Xenopus tropicalis: one gene and its partners. The protein of the gene in region 1 purifies or fractionates together with the protein of each later gene. This does not show direct contact. Links are inferred from orthologs where the notes say so. Each region holds a gene or a part of one and is shown on either strand. Other genes may lie near its edges.

Region 1 (3,519 bases):
TGGCTGGACCTATAAAGTTGGTGAATATGGATAACTAGTAACCCGGTACAACCAGAACTGCTACCTTAGCCTCACCCTCCCCTCCCCCGTTTCTTTCTCTTTCTTCCTTTCTTCTTTACTTTGTTTTTCTCTTGTTTAATTGTTTGTAATATGAAATATGCAAAATAAAATCTTTTAATTGTTAAATGTAAAGGAACCGTAAAGTTCTATCAAGTAGTGACTATTTTTAAAACTGGGTAAACATTAATAAATAAGTTTGTCACTATGACCCAATTTATATGAAACAAAGATGCGTCTCACCTCTTGATCAATATTGTGAAGCATCGCAGGATTGTTGTATTTCTCTGGGTTATCGTGAAAACACACCATGCCGTCTTTTTGATTAATACTTGCAAATATTTCACCATCTTCTATCTGGGGGAGAAAGAAGGAGGAGATGACTGCACAACAGCCTAAATCTGAGCAGCAGCAAACCCAGTGACAGTGACCTATGGTACAATATGGCAGCTCTCTTTACAGGTGATAGAAAAACCTATGGAGGCTTTTATGGATCTATCCCCAATGATAACATACCATAGCCCCTTGACTGTCAGGCCTCACACTTGGATAACTGTAATATCATTATCGTATACAGTTTGTTCATTTCCCTATTAAGACCAAACTGTAAATTATATCCTAACAAATGGTGCTTAGTGATGTAATCAGTTATAACCAGAGCTTAGTGATTTCTGTCACATGACTAACTAAAACTTGTATATTATAATAAATAAAGTACCCCCCTGTTGTAAAATATTAGGATATTAGAAGTCACCTTGGAGTTCTATCACCTGTATAAAGGTCATGGAACTCCTTGGTGACTTATAATATCCCTGTATTTTACAATAGGGGGTACTTTATTCACTATATAAATGCAATAAAAGTCTAACATCAATTGAAAAAGGAAAACTAGACAGAGGCTCAGCACAGTCTGTCCATTACACTTCCAAGTGATGCCAATTTCCTTTTGGCCCACACTATATTTAACAGCAATAATAAAGGAAGTTGGGAGAAGCAACCATTTCCCTTCTTACCATGTACAGCACATATTTTTCTGCCTCCTGAGCACCGGACAACTGAACTCGACTAGCCATGTCTTGTAACGACAGCGTTAAAAATGTCTGCAATGAGAGGGGTAGCCGTTAAACATTTTATGAACAAACTACACAGCATAAAAACAATACAAGTGAGGGTTCTTATCCCTGTGCGCTGAGGAGTGAAAGGCACTTACTTTGGTAAGTCTCTGAATGTTCTTCTTGTAGAGGGATGACAGGCATTGCTTGACCAGCCCCATGTTGTTGTCCCTGGTAAAGGTTTCGTTGTGTTTGCTTACAAGATTCCGCAGCTCTGCTGGGTTATTGGTTGAATAGACTTGTGCTAACTCATGGTAAGCATTGCTAAGAGGCTGCAACGGAAGATGAATAAACATTCATTTCTACAGGTCTGTAAAATTACATAACATTAAGGATTAAAGGGGACCTGTTGTATTTGTCAAGCAAAAGCAACTTCACTTCCACTATATAAATTATATAAATCTTGTTTCCTTCAGTCTTGGAATTACACAATCACAGAAAGCAGGCAGGCACCATTTTGTGGGCACTGTTATTAAGGCAAGTTTTGTATCACCCCAAAACCTTGTGTATGTGCCAGATTGGGGGGGCCTGATGCCCATGCAATGGCTACAGATTTAGATGGTGAGGAAGGAGGGGGAAAGTGAAGGGGTAAAGAAAAGTTAAAGTAATTGTTCTCCCCACCTCTATGGATTAAAAACTATTTAAAAGGGTTACAAAAGTCCCTGCTTACAAGTACTTACAATCATGAGAAATTAACTTGCTGTATTTTCACACAACAAAATACATCTAAGCAAATCTACTAGTTCCAGCTTACCTTGATAAATCTACCGACAATTTGCGAGGTATATTTAGGTAGCTGCTGAACCTTTCCATGGAGTATCAAGGAAACTAGAATATACTTTTTATAGGCTTCCAGCATTATGTGACTAACAGCCATGGCTGGAGTAGTTATAGCCTGCAGAAACAAACCAAGCAAAATCATTACAGGGGTTAACAACATTTCATTTCATTCCATTTGACCTACTAATAATGCAAGACTATACAGGAAAAAAATGCTTAATATTGATTAAGCACAAGTTACTGCCATATAAACCGTGCTATGGTGGCATATTAATCTTGCTACACTGCGTAGAGCAGCCATTGGCATGCATAACTGATGCTACAATTATATATTCAGTGGGGGTCATTTATAAACACTGAGCAAATTTGCACCTGGGCAGTAACCCATAGCAACGAATCAGTGATTACATTTATTCAGCAGCTGCAGACAGAACAACTGAAGCAAACATCTGATTACTTGCCATGGGTTACTGCCTAGGTGCAAATTTGCCCAGTGTTTATAAAACAGCCCATTTGTCACAAGCCACCATAACCCTTTCATGCCACACAGCAGAAGAAAAAGCCATGTTGTTTACTCTTTGTAGGACACATGCCATGTTGAGATGGCAATCAAAATGGTAGCTTATCGGCCCGTGTAGGGGCACTAACGACAGGCCTGCCTGACATCTGGCCTGAAATTGGCAAGATATCAATCTGGCAGGTTTAAAAATCCGTCGGATTAGGGACCACATCAGCTCGTTGATGAGGTTCCCAAACCGACAGACGCCTATACCCATCGCTCTAATTCGATCGTTTGGCTCCAGGGCCAAACGACAGAATTAACCCGATATCGCCCACCCGTAGGTGAGGATATTGGGAGAAGATCCGCTCACTTGGCGACCTCACCAAGGATCTTAGCGTGTATGGCCACCTTAAGACGCCATTCAATCTGCATTAGAGAGCCGGCTAGGCCTCAGAAACTAAAAAACAACTGTACCTGCTCATAAAAATACAGTGCTCTCTCGAAGTTCTTCAAGCCTGTGTAAATCATCCCGCCGTAATAGTAGTAACACAGGAAGGGCTTGGCATCGTAAGCGCCATTCTCTTTGCAAATATCCATCATATCTACATCTAGGTACGCAAGTGCAGGCTTAAAACATTTCGCTAAGAGAGAGAGCTACAAAGGAAAATGTAGAAATCAGAACAGTGAAATGCTACAGTTTTACATTTGCTGATGCTAAAATTGCACAAGTTTTTGCTAAAAATAGGTAATAGCTAAAATAAAATACTCCTGAACCAATGTAGTAGAAGCCAGCTAATTAGCAGGCCTGGAGGAGAGATTGTTTCAAGAGTCACAACCAGAGAGAAGGAAATAAGGAATAAACCAATACTAATTCCAACTGCTATTAGGTAATCAGTGGATATCCTCCCCGCCCCTCCCAGCAGCCGATCAGCAGAACAATGGGAAGGGAGCAAGATAGCAGCTCCCAGTAGGTATCAGAATAGCACTCAATAGTAAGAAATCCAAGTCCGGCTTGGGACTCCTCCAGTTACATGGGAGTAGAAGAAACAATAGGTTAGCTGAAAGCAG
Region 2 (3,519 bases), on another chromosome or scaffold:
TAGTTAATTTCTCCCTTGAAATTGCATATTCAAACAGACAACATTTCACAAATCTAAAATACTGTTAAATTAGATTTGTATCACTCTGCACAGGAAGTAGTGCCAGACTGACAGGAGACACAGCCAATAGGAGTTAAGCATGCTGCCAGTACTATGTGTGATTCTGAGACGAATCTCTCTTCAGCTGCACATTTCTGTTAACTATGTATATGACAAAGATAGTTCTGTTAACTATTAGATTTGTGAATGTTGTACAAAGGTGAAAAACCCCTTTAATGTACTAAATAATTTCATATACTATCCATAAATCAGAGCAGACTGGCAACTAAAGCTCCTGGGAGGTTTTTAGCTCACAACAGCCTTGGAGGCCTTAGTTGCTTATTTTATGGTTCTACAATAGTGAAATAGTCCAGGGCATTAGATAACGTTGTAATTCAAACTTAGGGGTTGATATAAGCTGGCCATCTACATGAGCCCACCATGTAATATGATAATAACCCAAGCAGTCAAATGAGCTTTTCTTCTCTTCTACATTGAACTCTACTATAACATTTGCTGTGAGCCGGTCGGCTCCTAACAATGCAATAATATACAGTCTTCTTCTGAATGTTTGGCTTCTCCTAGATTTTTACGTTTGAAAGGTTCAAAATCTGCCATAGAATATATGTTGTATTATATATGGTATATACACGTTATTCTGTATTCTGAATTACAAGTAGGCCATCTCCCATAGACTGCAGTTTAATTAAACAATTTACATTTTTAAAAATAATTTCCTTTTTCACTGTAGTAATAAAACAGTATTTGTACTTGATCACAAGTTCACAACTAAGATATAATGAATCCCTATTGGAGGCAAAATAATTCTTTTGTGTTTATTTAAAGCTAAATTTATTTTTCAGTAGACAAGGTAAGGAGATCTACATTACAGAAACTTATTTAAAAAAAACCCAGGTCCTAAATATTCTGGATAGGAGGTCCAATACCAGTACAACAAAGATTGGTTGAGAGCTAATTCCACAGCCAAAAAGGTAAATACTCACATGAGCCACATCTTCTTTTGTGCCAATGACACGATCCTGTGAAAGTTTGCTGAATTCAACATAATGATCCTCAGTAAATGAATGCCTAGAAATGAAAATGTAGTTGAGATTAAAAACTGCCCCTAAAGATGGTTGTGTTTTTAAACAGGAGCACTTTTTCTAAGGACTATTTGTTAACCTAGCAAACTCACTTCATTTCAAATACAGATTTCATGCTCCAAAGTGCTGAGAGAGGTTGGCTCCATGTGGCTGCAGTTAGAAGAAGAGACCCATCCTGTGAGAGAAGGACAGGAAAGGTTGACTGGGAGTTTAAAGGAGAACTAAAGCCTAATTAAAGAAGTAGGGCAGAAATATTGTACATTATGTTTCTGGCTTCTGCACCAGCGCGTGGCACCCACAGCCCTTTAGCAGGGAAGATCTGTGCCCCCAAAGATGCCCCCAGTAGCTCCCCATCTTCTTTGCTGATTCACTATACATGCTCTGTGCTGCTGTTAGTTACTGAGCTTAGGGGCTGATGCACAATATACTGTATATATAGAAAATAAATGTCATAATATAAGGCTGATTTAGAAAAGAATACATATAATTACTACATGGCAGCTCTGAAACCAGTGCAATTAGCATCACAATTTAATAATCAGCCCTGTATCATCAGCTTATATGACAGCTGAACCTCATTTTCTGCCTGATAATTTGCGACAAATCCTAAGCTTAGCTTCTCAACAGCTGCTAAGAGCATACGGAGCATGTGAGTGTCAAAGACACTTCCGAGTTAGGGAGCTCCTGTGACAAGTTTTAAAGTCTGGTCATGCTTCTATAGAGATGCTGAAACTTTAGGCTGTGCAATATATTCAGTATATAAAATATGGCATTTTTATCCATATTCATTTTTAGGTTTTAGTTCCCCTATAAAAGGAGAGACTGAAAAAGTGAGATGCAGGCCAGGCAAAGGCAGGGAGGTTATTAACTGAATGATGCTTACCCGAGATGGCTCCAAGTGTGTTATTGCAGAGATATGGCAATTGTAACTAGCTTCTTCCTGCCCACTAAACACGTTGTATAGTTTCAACTGCCCTGTGCACGTTCCCAACATCAGAAAGCGCTCACGTGCAGAGAATGCACAACAGGTGAAACCACTCTCATCTTCATTGGTTTCACGAAACACAGATATTGGACGGAACCTGCCAACAAGGAAGATAACATTAGACTCTAAAAGCATTTGTTCCAGGTTTCCCTTGAGTCTTCTCAAAACAAGAAATTCCAAACATAATTATGTGGTCCCCTACATTACCTGCTGAATATTAGATGTCGGTCAAAACAGCCCCCATCTACACCTCCATATTTGGGAAAGGCAGCACGTCGGGTTAATCTGGAAGTGCAGTTTGTAGGGGCTTGCCTGCGTTGTTTAGGCTCTGGGCACTGATGTGGAGTAAAGAGGGAGAAAGGGGGGCATATAGCAACTGGATTCTTGCAGCGTGCATGCTGTTCTCGCAGATACTCAGTCATAATGCTGTCCAGAGTGGGAGGAGACGGCACATGTCTTTCCATTTGCTTTCTGAAGGCAGGGCTTTGGCTATAGGCTCCATGATCTGATTTCTGCCGCAGAACACGCCCCCTCTTTCCATTACAAGGTGACTGCCGTTCTCGAGCAAAGCTGATACGCCCAATGAGTGGTGAGCCTGTGGATACTGGGGCAGGAGATGATAAAGGTGGTGGTAACTGAGGTCTTGAAGAAGGAGGGTGAGGGCACAGTGCTGTACTTGAAAGTCTAGCAGGGATCCGTGGTGTGCGTGGCAGAGAAACAGGTGAAGAAGTAGTGGGTGGTTGGGTAGCAGTGGCAGGCAGGTAGGTAGAAGAATGCAAAGCAGCAGTCATAGGTAGATCAGCCTCTCGCGTCAATGTGGCCACAGTTTCCTGCAATCCCTTGGATACCAGGTGATTCCGTATTAGTAGCAAGAGTTCTTTTTCAGGGAATGTAATACGAGATTGTGCTACTACATCTGCCTTTTGCAGGCGTGCAAGAGACACATCACTTCCCATTAGCAGTGGCTTCCCAGACACTCGCTCAATCAACTCGGCTGCATACTTGCAGAACCGCACATGCTCACTACGCTTGTCCTGGAGGATTGGCTCTTTCATCAGCTGCTGGATCTGGCTGCTGCTGAACAGGGGCAGCTTTGAAATAATTTGTCGAACTGAAGTGCTCCTGCTTAGGCCAACTAGTGCCTTGCAAGCCAAAGCCCTGATCTGATCGGCATCCGTGATGGGCATTTTAACAGACAGCAAAGACAAAAGAACTTTGATACCATTATTAGATTGGACAACATTCCACATCTTGGAAAGTGTAGGCTCTCCACGTCCGTGATGATGGAAGGTCGGACAAACAAGTCCCCTTCTTCGAGGTGTCCCAGAGACATACTTGCCAATGCTGGAGACTCGCGTTTCAGGAGCACAAACACAGTTGATGATAATCTGA
Region 3 (2,755 bases), on another chromosome or scaffold:
AATACGCTTTATATTAAATTGCACCCCTCATATTTAGGGCAGTGGCAAATTGAAGCTGCTCCATGTTTGGTCCTTGCAAGGCAGATCATTAGATTAGTGCATTGATAATTCCCTGGCTAACAAAGCTATCATAACAAAGGGTGAAGGGAATAGGGTTTGCATACTGCTAATTAAATATTTTCTTTGCAAGGACTAAAAATGGAGGAGCTTCAGGTTGGTTTAATTATTAATGCATTCACCTATTTCTTTTCAGTACCTGCAAACCCCTTTTCTCCGGTCCCTGGCTTCATACATATTATATCGGACCAACAGCCCCTTTGATCGCAGAGTTACCACTCTTGAGTGGCACCCTACGCACCCGAATACAGTGGCGGTGGGATCAAAAGGAGGAGACATCATTCTGTGGGACTATGAAGAGCTCAATAACACCCTCATTCCTGGGGTGAGTCCAGTTCTTCTCGCCCCGCTGGATCCCTCTCGCACATGGCTACAACTTTGCTGTGTTTTTATCCTTGCAGATTGGAGCCGGGGGGTGCATCACCGGAATGAAGTTCGACCCGTTTAACCCTAATCAGTTGTACACCTCATCAGTGGCGGGTAGCACCGTGCTACAGGACTTCTCTGGGCGCAATATTCAGACATTCACCAACACTGAGGACTGGGCGTAAGCGAGATGGCTCTGTGGGGTAGGCGGGAGTACTGACCCTCAGTGGGGGCGGAATTATTGCTTAATTGGCTGTAGTGTCCTGGTACCCAAGGGCTTTCCCTCTGAAGCTACCACCCAAGGGGCTTGGGTTCCTATATAGAAAATACGATCCTTGCTAGAAATAGTGGTGAGCATAATGTGCCATTGCCCTTTTTAAATGTGATTACTAGCTGCTGCAGATAGGGTGAGCTGAACCCCCCCCTCATGCACAGTATGGCACATATAATTATCTAGTATACAGGCTCCTGACTGGTTGATCCTGTATGCATAGATAATTAAGTCGCCAGTCCAAAGAAAGGAAGCAGGATACACTGTAAAACTGTTTACTTCCCATTTAACATGGAATATCATCATTTTCACAAAAATAAATATTCTTTTTATATCTGTTAATGGCCCATTCCAAACCTGGCACATGGATATAACTAGGGGTGCTTACATGCAGTTTTGGGGCTTTTGGCCTTTGGTTTAACTGCCACTGGTTCTTCCATAGGATGTGGTACTGCAGCCTCGATGTTTCCGCTGAAAGGCAGTGTGTGGTCACGGGGGATAATGTAGGCAACGTGGTCCTCCTGGAGACCTGTGGGAAGGAGGTGGGTATTGTCCAGCCCTGGACTTCCTGTTTTTAGATTGTAAGCTCTTTGGGGCAGAGACCTTATTCCAACCCTATACTGATCATGGTGAATGAAAGTGGTCCCTTGGCACGGGAGACTGACCCTTGGCACCTTTATTCTCAGATCTGGAAGTTACGGCTTCACAAAAAGAAAGTGACGCATGTAGAGTTTAACCCTCGCTGTGATTGGCTGCTGGCGTCCGCTTCTGTGGATCAGACCGTGAAGCTGTGGGACCTGCGCAATATCAAAGACAAGTCCAGCTACCTGTACACATTGCCTCATGCACGTGGCGTCAACTCTGGTAAGCGCTGTTCCCTACACCCGGTATCCTGACAGGTAATCGTGGCCATTTGTGACTCATGGTGGTCTCTCTATTGCAGCTTATTTTAGCCCCTGGGATGGGGCAAAGCTACTCACTACCGATCAGCACAGTGAGATCCGTGTCTATTCTGCGTGTGATTGGGCCAAACCGCAGCACATAATACCTCATCCACACCGGCAATTCCAACATTTGACTGCAATTAAGGTATATAAAGCTATATAAATATAGCATTCATCTATAAAATATCCTAAAGTACAGCACTTAAATATGTCAGTTGTACTGTGAAATGTAAGGATCCTGGCCCGCAGGGAGATTAGTCGGCCGCAGGTGGGAAAAACAGGTGGGAAAAACAGGGCACTTTGTTTCTCTTAAGTCACCCAGAGTTGCCTGGCAAGGAAACTATGGGGAATGGCAAAGCATAGCGAAGATTTATCGCAGTTGACTAATATCCCCAAGTGCCAGTACCCCAAGGATATTCGTCTTGCTCCATATAGCTTGTAGCCTAATCACTTTACATGCTTCCTCCTCAGTTATTTCTAATATCCTTATAATTTACAGTAGGGGGTACATGTTCACTGTATAACTCAGCCTGCAGCCTTGTGCCTTTATATGGTCACAGAGCCCCTCAGTGACTGCTAATATCCTTATCATTTACAGTAGGGGGTACATTATCCCTTATAATACATGAGTGATACTCAGAGTTCCCTGTATAACTCAGCCTGCAGCCTTGTGCCTTTATATGGGCACAGAACCCCTCAGTGACTTCTAATATCCTTATCATTTACAGTAGGGGGTACATTATCCCTTATAATACATGAGTGGTACTCAGAGTTCCCTGTATAACTCAGCCTGCAGCCTTGTGCCTTTATATGGGGGGCACAGAACCCCTCAGTGACTGCTAATATCCTTATCATTTACAGTAGGGGGTACATGTTCACTGTATAACTCAGCCTGCAGCCTTGTGCATTTATATGGGCACAGAACCCCTCAGTGACTGCTAATATCCTTATCATTTACAGTAGGGGGTACATTATCCCTTATAATACATGAGTGATACTCAGAGTTCCCTGTATAACTCAGCCTGCAGCCTTGTGCCTTTATATGGGCACAGAACCC
Region 4 (3,519 bases), on another chromosome or scaffold:
GTGCTTCCTACTTTGTGGCAATAGTCTGGGAAGGCCCTTTTGGCCCTGTTTCAACACAATAATGTCCCCATGCAAAAAGTGAGGTCTGTACAGCGGTGGTTGGTTTGCTGTAATGGGGATGTTGGACATCATCACAGAGTATCTACTGCAAAGACTTTTTATTTCAATTACACATTCATTAAGTAATGCATTCATTTATAAGCTGGTTTCATGACGTAACTACCAACAATTTCAATTACACACTCCCAATTACATTATATTGTATATGATTGCTCATTTTTATCTAGATGCTAATCAAAATTATTTTACCCACAATGCACCCATAAGTCCTGCATCAATGCATCCACAGCAATTTGCATATGATGCAGTAATATAAAAAAAACTAATTAGAATCTGTGTTTTTAAATGACATTGTATACTTCTTGTAGCACCATCAACAACAGCCTTGAGGTCCCCAAACACAGGCCGATTATAGCTTCCGATATCAGTCCCTTGGCCTGGCCGACCGATATCTGGCCCAGGGCCAAACGATCGAATTCGCCTACATGCCTTCCCAATATCGCCCACCCGTAGGTGGGGTTATCGGGTGAAGATCCGCTCGCTTGGCGATGCCAGCTTTAGTGTCCAAGTAGCAAGCGAACTCTACAATTACTGGCAGGTAAAGGCTGCTGGTTTACAAGTCTTTTGCATCCATCTATGCAGTTCATTAGAGTAGGCTGAGCAGGTACACTGGTACCCTTGTGAGAAAAGCTGCACACAATTTTGTGTATAAATAAAGCCCAAAGGCAATATCACTAGTCAACCAAGCAATTGTCGTATATACTTACCCTCCCAGAATTTCTCGTCCATCAGAAGATACAGTGAGAGAAAAAACAGCAAAACGACGCTCTGAGGGGCTATAAAAAGAATTTAGTGGCAAGGATGAAAAGAAAAAAAAAGCAGACACAGAATGGCACAAAACTGAAACTGAAGTGGGTTAAGATAACAAAATATAAAACTACTAGTGGACATTTTTCTCACACAAAGTACCTCAGATCCAGGGCAGTGTGCGATTCAGTATCTCCATATATATTACAGATATGAACTGAAATCAAAGGAAAAAAATCAGAATAATATTAGTGTTACTGTTAAACTTCTACAATATAATTATATATTTGATGCATAAATGAAAATAATATTTAGTTTTCAATATTGAATAATGAATTCCAGCTAGGATTGAAATCTCTGAATCTGAATATCATAGTTTTATAGTGCATCCTACAGCACACTAGGTGGTACACAAACTTTGCACAAAACATATTTATTACACATAACATGAGAACGTTCTAAAAAACACATGTAAAGTATTGCTTTCCAGAAGTCAAAGCTTGCTTTGGATTGAATGCATGGGATCCCTTATCCGGAAACCCGTTATCCAGAAAGCTCATCTCCCATTTTACGGAAAGCCCATCTCCCATTTTAATCAAATAATTCAGAATTTTAAAAATGATTTTCTTTTTCTCTCTAATAATAAAACGGTTCCTTGTAATTGATCCCAACTAAGATTTGAATAATCCTTTTTGGATACAAAACAGTCCTGTTGGGTTTAATTAATGTTTTATTGATTTTTTAGTAGACTTAAGGTACGGAGATCCAAATTACAGAAAGAATCCTTATCCTGCATACCCTTGGGTCCCGAGCATTCTAGATAACGGGTCCTATACCTGTATAACCAATATAAGTGATGGACTGTCTACACCATATTAAGATTGCCCCGCTGAGCTGACATTTTCTCTTAAATAGAATCAATTGTAGCATACATGCATTCCCGTTATTATTTTTACAACCCAATTTCCAAATAAGTTGGAACACTGTTTAAATTGTAAATAAAAAGACAATGGGATGGTTTGCAAATCGCATTCTGTTTTTATTTATATTTTACACAGCATCCCAACTTTATAAAAATGGGGTTGTATTATTACCAATAAACCACCAACATTTCACACAGAGCTGTACAATAAATAGGTGCATACATTAAACAACCAGAATACATACAAAAACACAAAAAGAGGTAAAGAGGGCGCTGTCCAAAATACTTACTTTCACACTGCATGTTAATTGTATGATTGGTAGTTGTACCCAAACACAAGTTTTAGCATTCTTATTTAAAGTGGATAAATATCCATATAACAATGTAAAATTGCTCATAGTGCTCTTCTAAGGGCAAAGGCACACAGAACATATGCTCTGCTTCTCTCAGCACTGTGTTTTTTCCATCCGGGTGAGAGAAGCGGATCTGCTTCCCTACACTGCTCTGTGTGCCTGCACTGAAAACGACTGTGAAACCCATTGCAGCCACTGGTGTTTTTCCGCAGTGAAACCTTTTCAATCATCACTAATACTCACTGTAGTCTGACCAGCTGGAGTACAGAAAATGTCCTCCATCCGGGGTAAATGCCACATCCAAGACACTCCAGCCAACATCCCGAGCCTTAACAGTGCGAAATTTCTTAAAGGCACCATTTCTACAATCATATAAGCGGATGTTTTGATCTAGGAGAAGAAATCTAGAGGTTACCAGGCAGTATAGATACATTTTAATTTATAAGAGCTTAAAATAATGAAGAATAAAGGGACCATAGAACTATGGGACATGGCATTCCTGTAATTAAGAGCTTTTAAAGTTTACAGATAAGAGATCCCATACCAGTAGTCTAAAAAGCAGAGATGACAGGGGGTTGGAAAGCCAAATAAAAAAAACAAAAAAACACCCCAATATAAAACAAATGATTAGGAGAAACAAATTGGGGTTGTAAATATAAAGTAAATGAAAGAAGATGTATTCAAGAGTATTGGGATATTAGTAAATATGATAAGATATACAAATGGTAAGAATATGCTGCAGCACCTGTAGAGGACAAAGTTGCAACCTACCCTGACATGCTGACATAAAGACAGATCCATTGGGGGAATACACCCCACAGAAAGCCTTCTGGGAGTATGAGTCTGTGGCACATACATGATTCGGGAGGAAACTAAAAGAAGACAGAAAGACAGTTATCATGACAAATAATCACCCATCAAACACACAAGCCCCTTGATACTCACTGAGATGTTACACGACAACGCTCTCCCATAGTAAATCCACATCCTGCCCGCTCTCTCTGCATACATAAGAAACAATGACAATGGGGGGAAAATTTACTAGCATTGAAAATCTATAGGTTTAAAGGTCCTGTCCTTTCCCAGACTTTTTTGACAGTCCAACTGCTTTATTTTCACGTACCGGGCAATTCTATCACAGAATAAAAATACACCAAAACAGTATGGATAACTTACACAACTTATGGATGTGCTAAATAATGCAAAATTGCTCCCCTTAGGTGACCATTCACATAGTACTTGCACAGTGATGCACAGTGCGAAGTTTACGCCTTTGCTTGTACACCACAAAGGAGCCAAATTAGCCTTCTGTCTTTAGGTGACCCTGATTTCAGCCGCAAAATGGCCTGTTGTTAAAAAGAAGTAAACATTTTTTTC
Region 5 (4,090 bases), on another chromosome or scaffold:
TTCCTACTCGCCTGTTAACACATTGCATGCTAAGAACTTTACCAGGAGCCCCTCTGGTATTTACCAGAATCTACAGATTTCCAGTCTGGGCCTGCACAGCAAGCAATCACAACTGACTACCAGAGAAGTTTGGAACAAAAAAACGCAAAAGTATGAATTTATTGCTATGGATAAAATGTACACCTGTTTTATGACTTCACCCTTGAAGTATTCCTTCCATCATTGCCTTTAATTGTATTATACCACTGTCTTCCAGCTGTTTCCATATTGTGGACCAGCTAATCACTATACTACATGGTTGAGGGCCAGATCATAATAAAATAATGACCTACAAAGAGGTCAATAGAGGTGTTGAGCAGTTTGGGGGACATGAAAAAAAATCACATTCACCCTGTGTGATTTTTTGGACAACCAAATATATGAGACTAGTGAACTACACTTGAAAGGAAACTAAAAGCAAAAATAAATAAAATAAGAGTTAACTTGCTTAGGCTGCTCTACTAAACGTATCTGCAGTTTAAGCTTGGTTAGGACTGGAAAGGGAAATAACAAAATGCACTCAAGCACTAAATTTAAAAAGGTACTTTTTCTGAGGTATGCATGTGACCTCATCAGGTCCCTGTCAGATCCCTGATCTGATAAATATGTAATAGGGGAAAATTCTAGGGAAGCAGATATTCCCCTCTGGCTGTCAATGCAGCTTTAAAATCCCAAAAAGAGAGAGAGTGTGATGCAGAGCTGCTTTTCATTGGAGATGCTGTTTGCACATTAAGTTAACCCAACACAGCAGTTCTAAGAAAGGGCTGCTGAGCTGAAAGCCTGATATTAATATTTTTAAATCTTAAAAAAAAAAAAAACATTACATTTCAAAAGTACTCAGACATCCCCATTAATCAATTTATCTCTAATTTTTCCGTTTACTGGAACAGATTTTAGCAATGTCCACAAATAAGGCTTTCAAATAAGTCTTGCAGTTTGCGAACTTTACTTATTTTAAAGGACACCAAGCCCCAAAATGTTTTTCTAATAAAAGAAAATATGATTCTAAGAAACTTTCCAAAATGAAATTAATAAAAATGTTTCGTACATTAACAGTTATTTGTAAATATAATTGCTATTGAAAGCAGCATTTACTTAACTTCTCGTTATGACTTTTTAAATAATGTCTTCCAGGAAGTCAGGTCTGTCAGTCTGCTGGCTTGGGTTACATTGTTTCAAACGTCAGAGGCACCAGGGCAGAGAATAGAAAGGACTGACAAACACTAATGTTGCTAAATGTTTTACATTATATTTCAATGACTTCTAATTCTTGGTAATTCATCTTTTTACTAGGCTCATCAATAAGTTGCCCTCAGTTGGCACTAGGCAATAAAGGCAGAATGTGGAGTACACACACACACGCCTGGGCATGCACATGTCTCACCTTGATGTGCAAGTTACTATTAGTGAATGTTAGGCCAACATAGCCAAGTTATAATGTTTTGTGCCAGTGTAGTGCAGAGTACCCACTGTAGTTGCACAAAGGCTTACCACTCACAGCTTTGCAATGGGCTTTCAGGAATCCATCAGCCTTGTGTCCTTGTTGACATCATGTCTTATGTCAACAGAGAAGCATACCTCTCCCTCAAAGTTCCCCGTTGGCACACTGATCCTTATGCACAGAATGTTATGTAAATAAATACGATTTAGATTCATCTCATGACACTGCCCTATACAGCAGACCCTATCTATATGAGGCCCAGCATGAATGGCATCAGCCCTGCTTAGGTCTCTTGGGTAACTCTGACAGCACGCAATGAGGATGTGTAAAGCAAACTGCCAATGGCGAGTGGCACAAGCACTTAAGATATATATATATATATATATATTAGCCAATGCCAGTATCAGCCGCAGAGGAATGGCTGACTGGGTCCGTACTGCGCTGGGCATCCCACTAGCCTGTCACTATGCCACCTGTACCACATACCTGTGCGCCGGGATCCGCTGGCTTCCCAGTCCTTTCCCCACAAGGAAGTGGACGTCGCTTAGCACTTCGTTGTTGAAGAGGAAGGTGAACCTTTCCCGCACCGTGGTTTTGGTGGCCTGCCAGTTGTACACGGGCTCCCGGAGCAGGCCAGCAGCAGCAGCAGCAGCAGGAGGAGGCGGCGGTGGTGCAGCAGGAGGCGAAACTCCAGATGCCGAAACTGCAGCAGCTGCCTGATTCCCGGGGGACGAGGCCCCAGCCCCGCCGCTATAGTTGTACGAGGAGGCCGAGGAGCCACCGCGGTTGCTGGGGGCGCTGTTCCCCACCACCCCGGGAAACGACAGGCCGCCGCTCCCACCCGCCGCCATCTTGGATGGGGGAGGCTCCGGTGGGCGGGGGCAGGAGGAGGAAGGTGAGGGAGGCGGGTCCCCGGGGCTGTTTACAAACAGAACCGGGCAGCAACGGCGCATGAGGCGGCAAGGCCGCTGTCTCTATGGCAACCCGATGAGATGGAAAAGAAGAGGGCATTGAAGGGAGGCAGCGTTGCTAACTAGAGGCGGGGCATCGTACATTCATGCGAGCGAGCGCTTATTGGACGAAAGAGTAGAAGCACAACCTCACATATTACTTAATGTTAGCCCAAACCCCCCGTCTGTGCCACATGATGCAATATCTACTAGCTGATTGGTCCTCTGTATCTGAGCGTTCGGGCAGTCCTATGTCACGTGCTGTTGCATTGACTCTGGAGATTCTCGATGGTGCAGTTTTCTAAAGCAGCGAAGTTCAAACTGGAGATCAGAGACACGATTTGACGGATTACTGAACTGGAATGTTTTGGGATGATTATACGCATGCATGGATTGTATCCCTCCTTTAAAGACATGTCATTGATCTCCCAATGCTATTTTTGTTGCAGTTTTCTAAAACTGTTAAAGGAGACATATCCTATAAAAATTAAGAATGTACCAGGGAATTATACTCCTCTAGATATAGAAGGATTGTGCTTAAAAAGTTGTGTTTCTGACTGATTTATTGAGAAATTCCACAAAACCCCCACTAGCCCCGCCCATCTGTGCCACTTCCTGCTGGCTGAATTCTCTGGATGTGCAGGGGAGCTGGCGGCTCTCAGTACACTCCACTGTAGGATAGGAACCAATCAGCACCCAGGCCGACCTGATAGGGAACTGAAGCCTGTCTGTGCTTGTGTGAGGGCAGGGCTGTGATTGGCTCTCCCCCTCCTACTGTGCTTCTGGCAGGGACCTTTAGGACACGCCCACTCTTCATTTCACACTGGACGGATAAGTGATACCATCTATAGGGAGCTCCAATAAAGGGTCCATTTTTTACAGAGAGGATTAATATTTAGCACAAAGTGAAACCAGCACCGTATATTATTCATAATTGCCTACAAAATTAGGGTTTTTCCCATTTATCCAATATGTCTCCTTTAATAATAGCAAATGACATACAAGGTAAATGATTATACAACAAGAGACCATTACTTGGGTGTGAACAACTCAAAGGCACTTAGGTAAAACCAATGCTAGTAAGAACAAATACAAGAAATAGCATCCTAGGAGAACATAGACAAGCTGCCCTATTTTGCCCGCACAGTCCTGTCACCAACACCATGTCATTTGCCCCTGATCAGCGCAGAAACTTGCAGAGAAGGGAGTGCATTTAAGAATTGACCAAGACACACCCAGAACATAAAATGCATATTTAGACTAAAATTATGTGCTCGTTCTCAGAATCTCTTAATTTTGTACAAACTACAGATAATTTGGCTCTATTCAGACCCGTTGTATATTCAATCCTACTTTGTTAATCCACAAATAGCAGAGAGTGTAAGGGATATAAGACAACAGGACCTTTGTAACTAAGCAATAAAGATTGGTGAAAGATTAGTGAAATGCATTAGACATAACTAACTTGTATCCCTAAACTACAGACACGGTGTATTGCAATGTACACAGAGCCTCTTTGCTGCTTGGATCTGGACCCAAGTGCTAGATCATATGGATGTGGTGACCAACTAAGAAAAGCCTAGAAACCTGTTTACTAGGTATTAGCCTTGACAATATAAGGGGTAATTTACAACCTTGGGGGGCATGAGTGCAAGCACAC

The links.
Region 2: the proteins of cops3 (region 1) and dcaf1 purify together in Homo sapiens (affinity purification with mass spectrometry; 5 studies listed by BioGRID, with this or other methods). This does not show direct contact. The link is inferred for Xenopus tropicalis from reciprocal best matches to the Homo sapiens genes COPS3 and DCAF1.
Region 3: the proteins of cops3 (region 1) and ddb2 purify together in Homo sapiens (affinity purification with mass spectrometry; 7 studies listed by BioGRID and IntAct, with this or other methods). This does not show direct contact. The link is inferred for Xenopus tropicalis from reciprocal best matches to the Homo sapiens genes COPS3 and DDB2.
Region 4: the proteins of cops3 (region 1) and dcaf11 purify together in Homo sapiens (affinity purification with mass spectrometry; 3 studies listed by BioGRID and IntAct, counting the BioPlex papers as one, with this or other methods). This does not show direct contact. The link is inferred for Xenopus tropicalis from reciprocal best matches to the Homo sapiens genes COPS3 and DCAF11.
Region 5: the proteins of cops3 (region 1) and btbd2 purify together in Homo sapiens (affinity purification with mass spectrometry; 3 studies listed by BioGRID and IntAct, counting the BioPlex papers as one, with this or other methods). This does not show direct contact. The link is inferred for Xenopus tropicalis from reciprocal best matches to the Homo sapiens genes COPS3 and BTBD2.

What each region holds. Positions count from the first base shown.
Region 1 is NC_030685.2:15,774,622-15,778,140, reverse strand, and holds part of cops3 (COP9 signalosome complex subunit 3), read right to left. Parts: intron 3,106-3,519; coding exon 2,926-3,105; intron 2,065-2,925; coding exon 1,924-2,064; intron 1,442-1,923; coding exon 1,268-1,441; intron 1,158-1,267; coding exon 1,071-1,157; intron 415-1,070; coding exon 301-414; intron 1-300. UniProt on the Homo sapiens protein: Component of the COP9 signalosome complex (CSN), a complex involved in various cellular and developmental processes.
Region 2 is NC_030680.2:127,315,023-127,318,541, reverse strand, and holds part of dcaf1 (DDB1- and CUL4-associated factor 1), read right to left. Parts: coding exon 2,335-3,519; intron 2,225-2,334; coding exon 2,026-2,224; intron 1,318-2,025; coding exon 1,235-1,317; intron 1,129-1,234; coding exon 1,044-1,128; intron 1-1,043. UniProt on the Homo sapiens protein: Acts both as a substrate recognition component of E3 ubiquitin-protein ligase complexes and as an atypical serine/threonine-protein kinase, playing key roles in various processes such as cell cycle, telomerase regulation and histone modification.
Region 3 is NC_030680.2:15,447,843-15,450,597, forward strand, and holds part of ddb2 (DNA damage-binding protein 2), read left to right. Parts: intron 1-253; coding exon 254-442; intron 443-518; coding exon 519-664; intron 665-1,196; coding exon 1,197-1,296; intron 1,297-1,440; coding exon 1,441-1,618; intron 1,619-1,697; coding exon 1,698-1,843; intron 1,844-2,755.
Region 4 is NC_030677.2:139,466,757-139,470,275, forward strand, and holds part of dcaf11 (DDB1- and CUL4-associated factor 11), read right to left. Parts: intron 3,144-3,519; coding exon 3,088-3,143; intron 3,015-3,087; coding exon 2,914-3,014; intron 2,533-2,913; coding exon 2,386-2,532; intron 1,085-2,385; coding exon 1,030-1,084; intron 897-1,029; coding exon 828-896; intron 1-827. UniProt on the Homo sapiens protein: May function as a substrate receptor for CUL4-DDB1 E3 ubiquitin-protein ligase complex.
Region 5 is NC_030677.2:102,967,060-102,971,149, reverse strand, and holds the start of btbd2 (BTB/POZ domain-containing protein 2), read right to left. Parts: upstream 2,811-4,090; 5' UTR 2,434-2,810; coding exon 1,967-2,433; intron 1-1,966.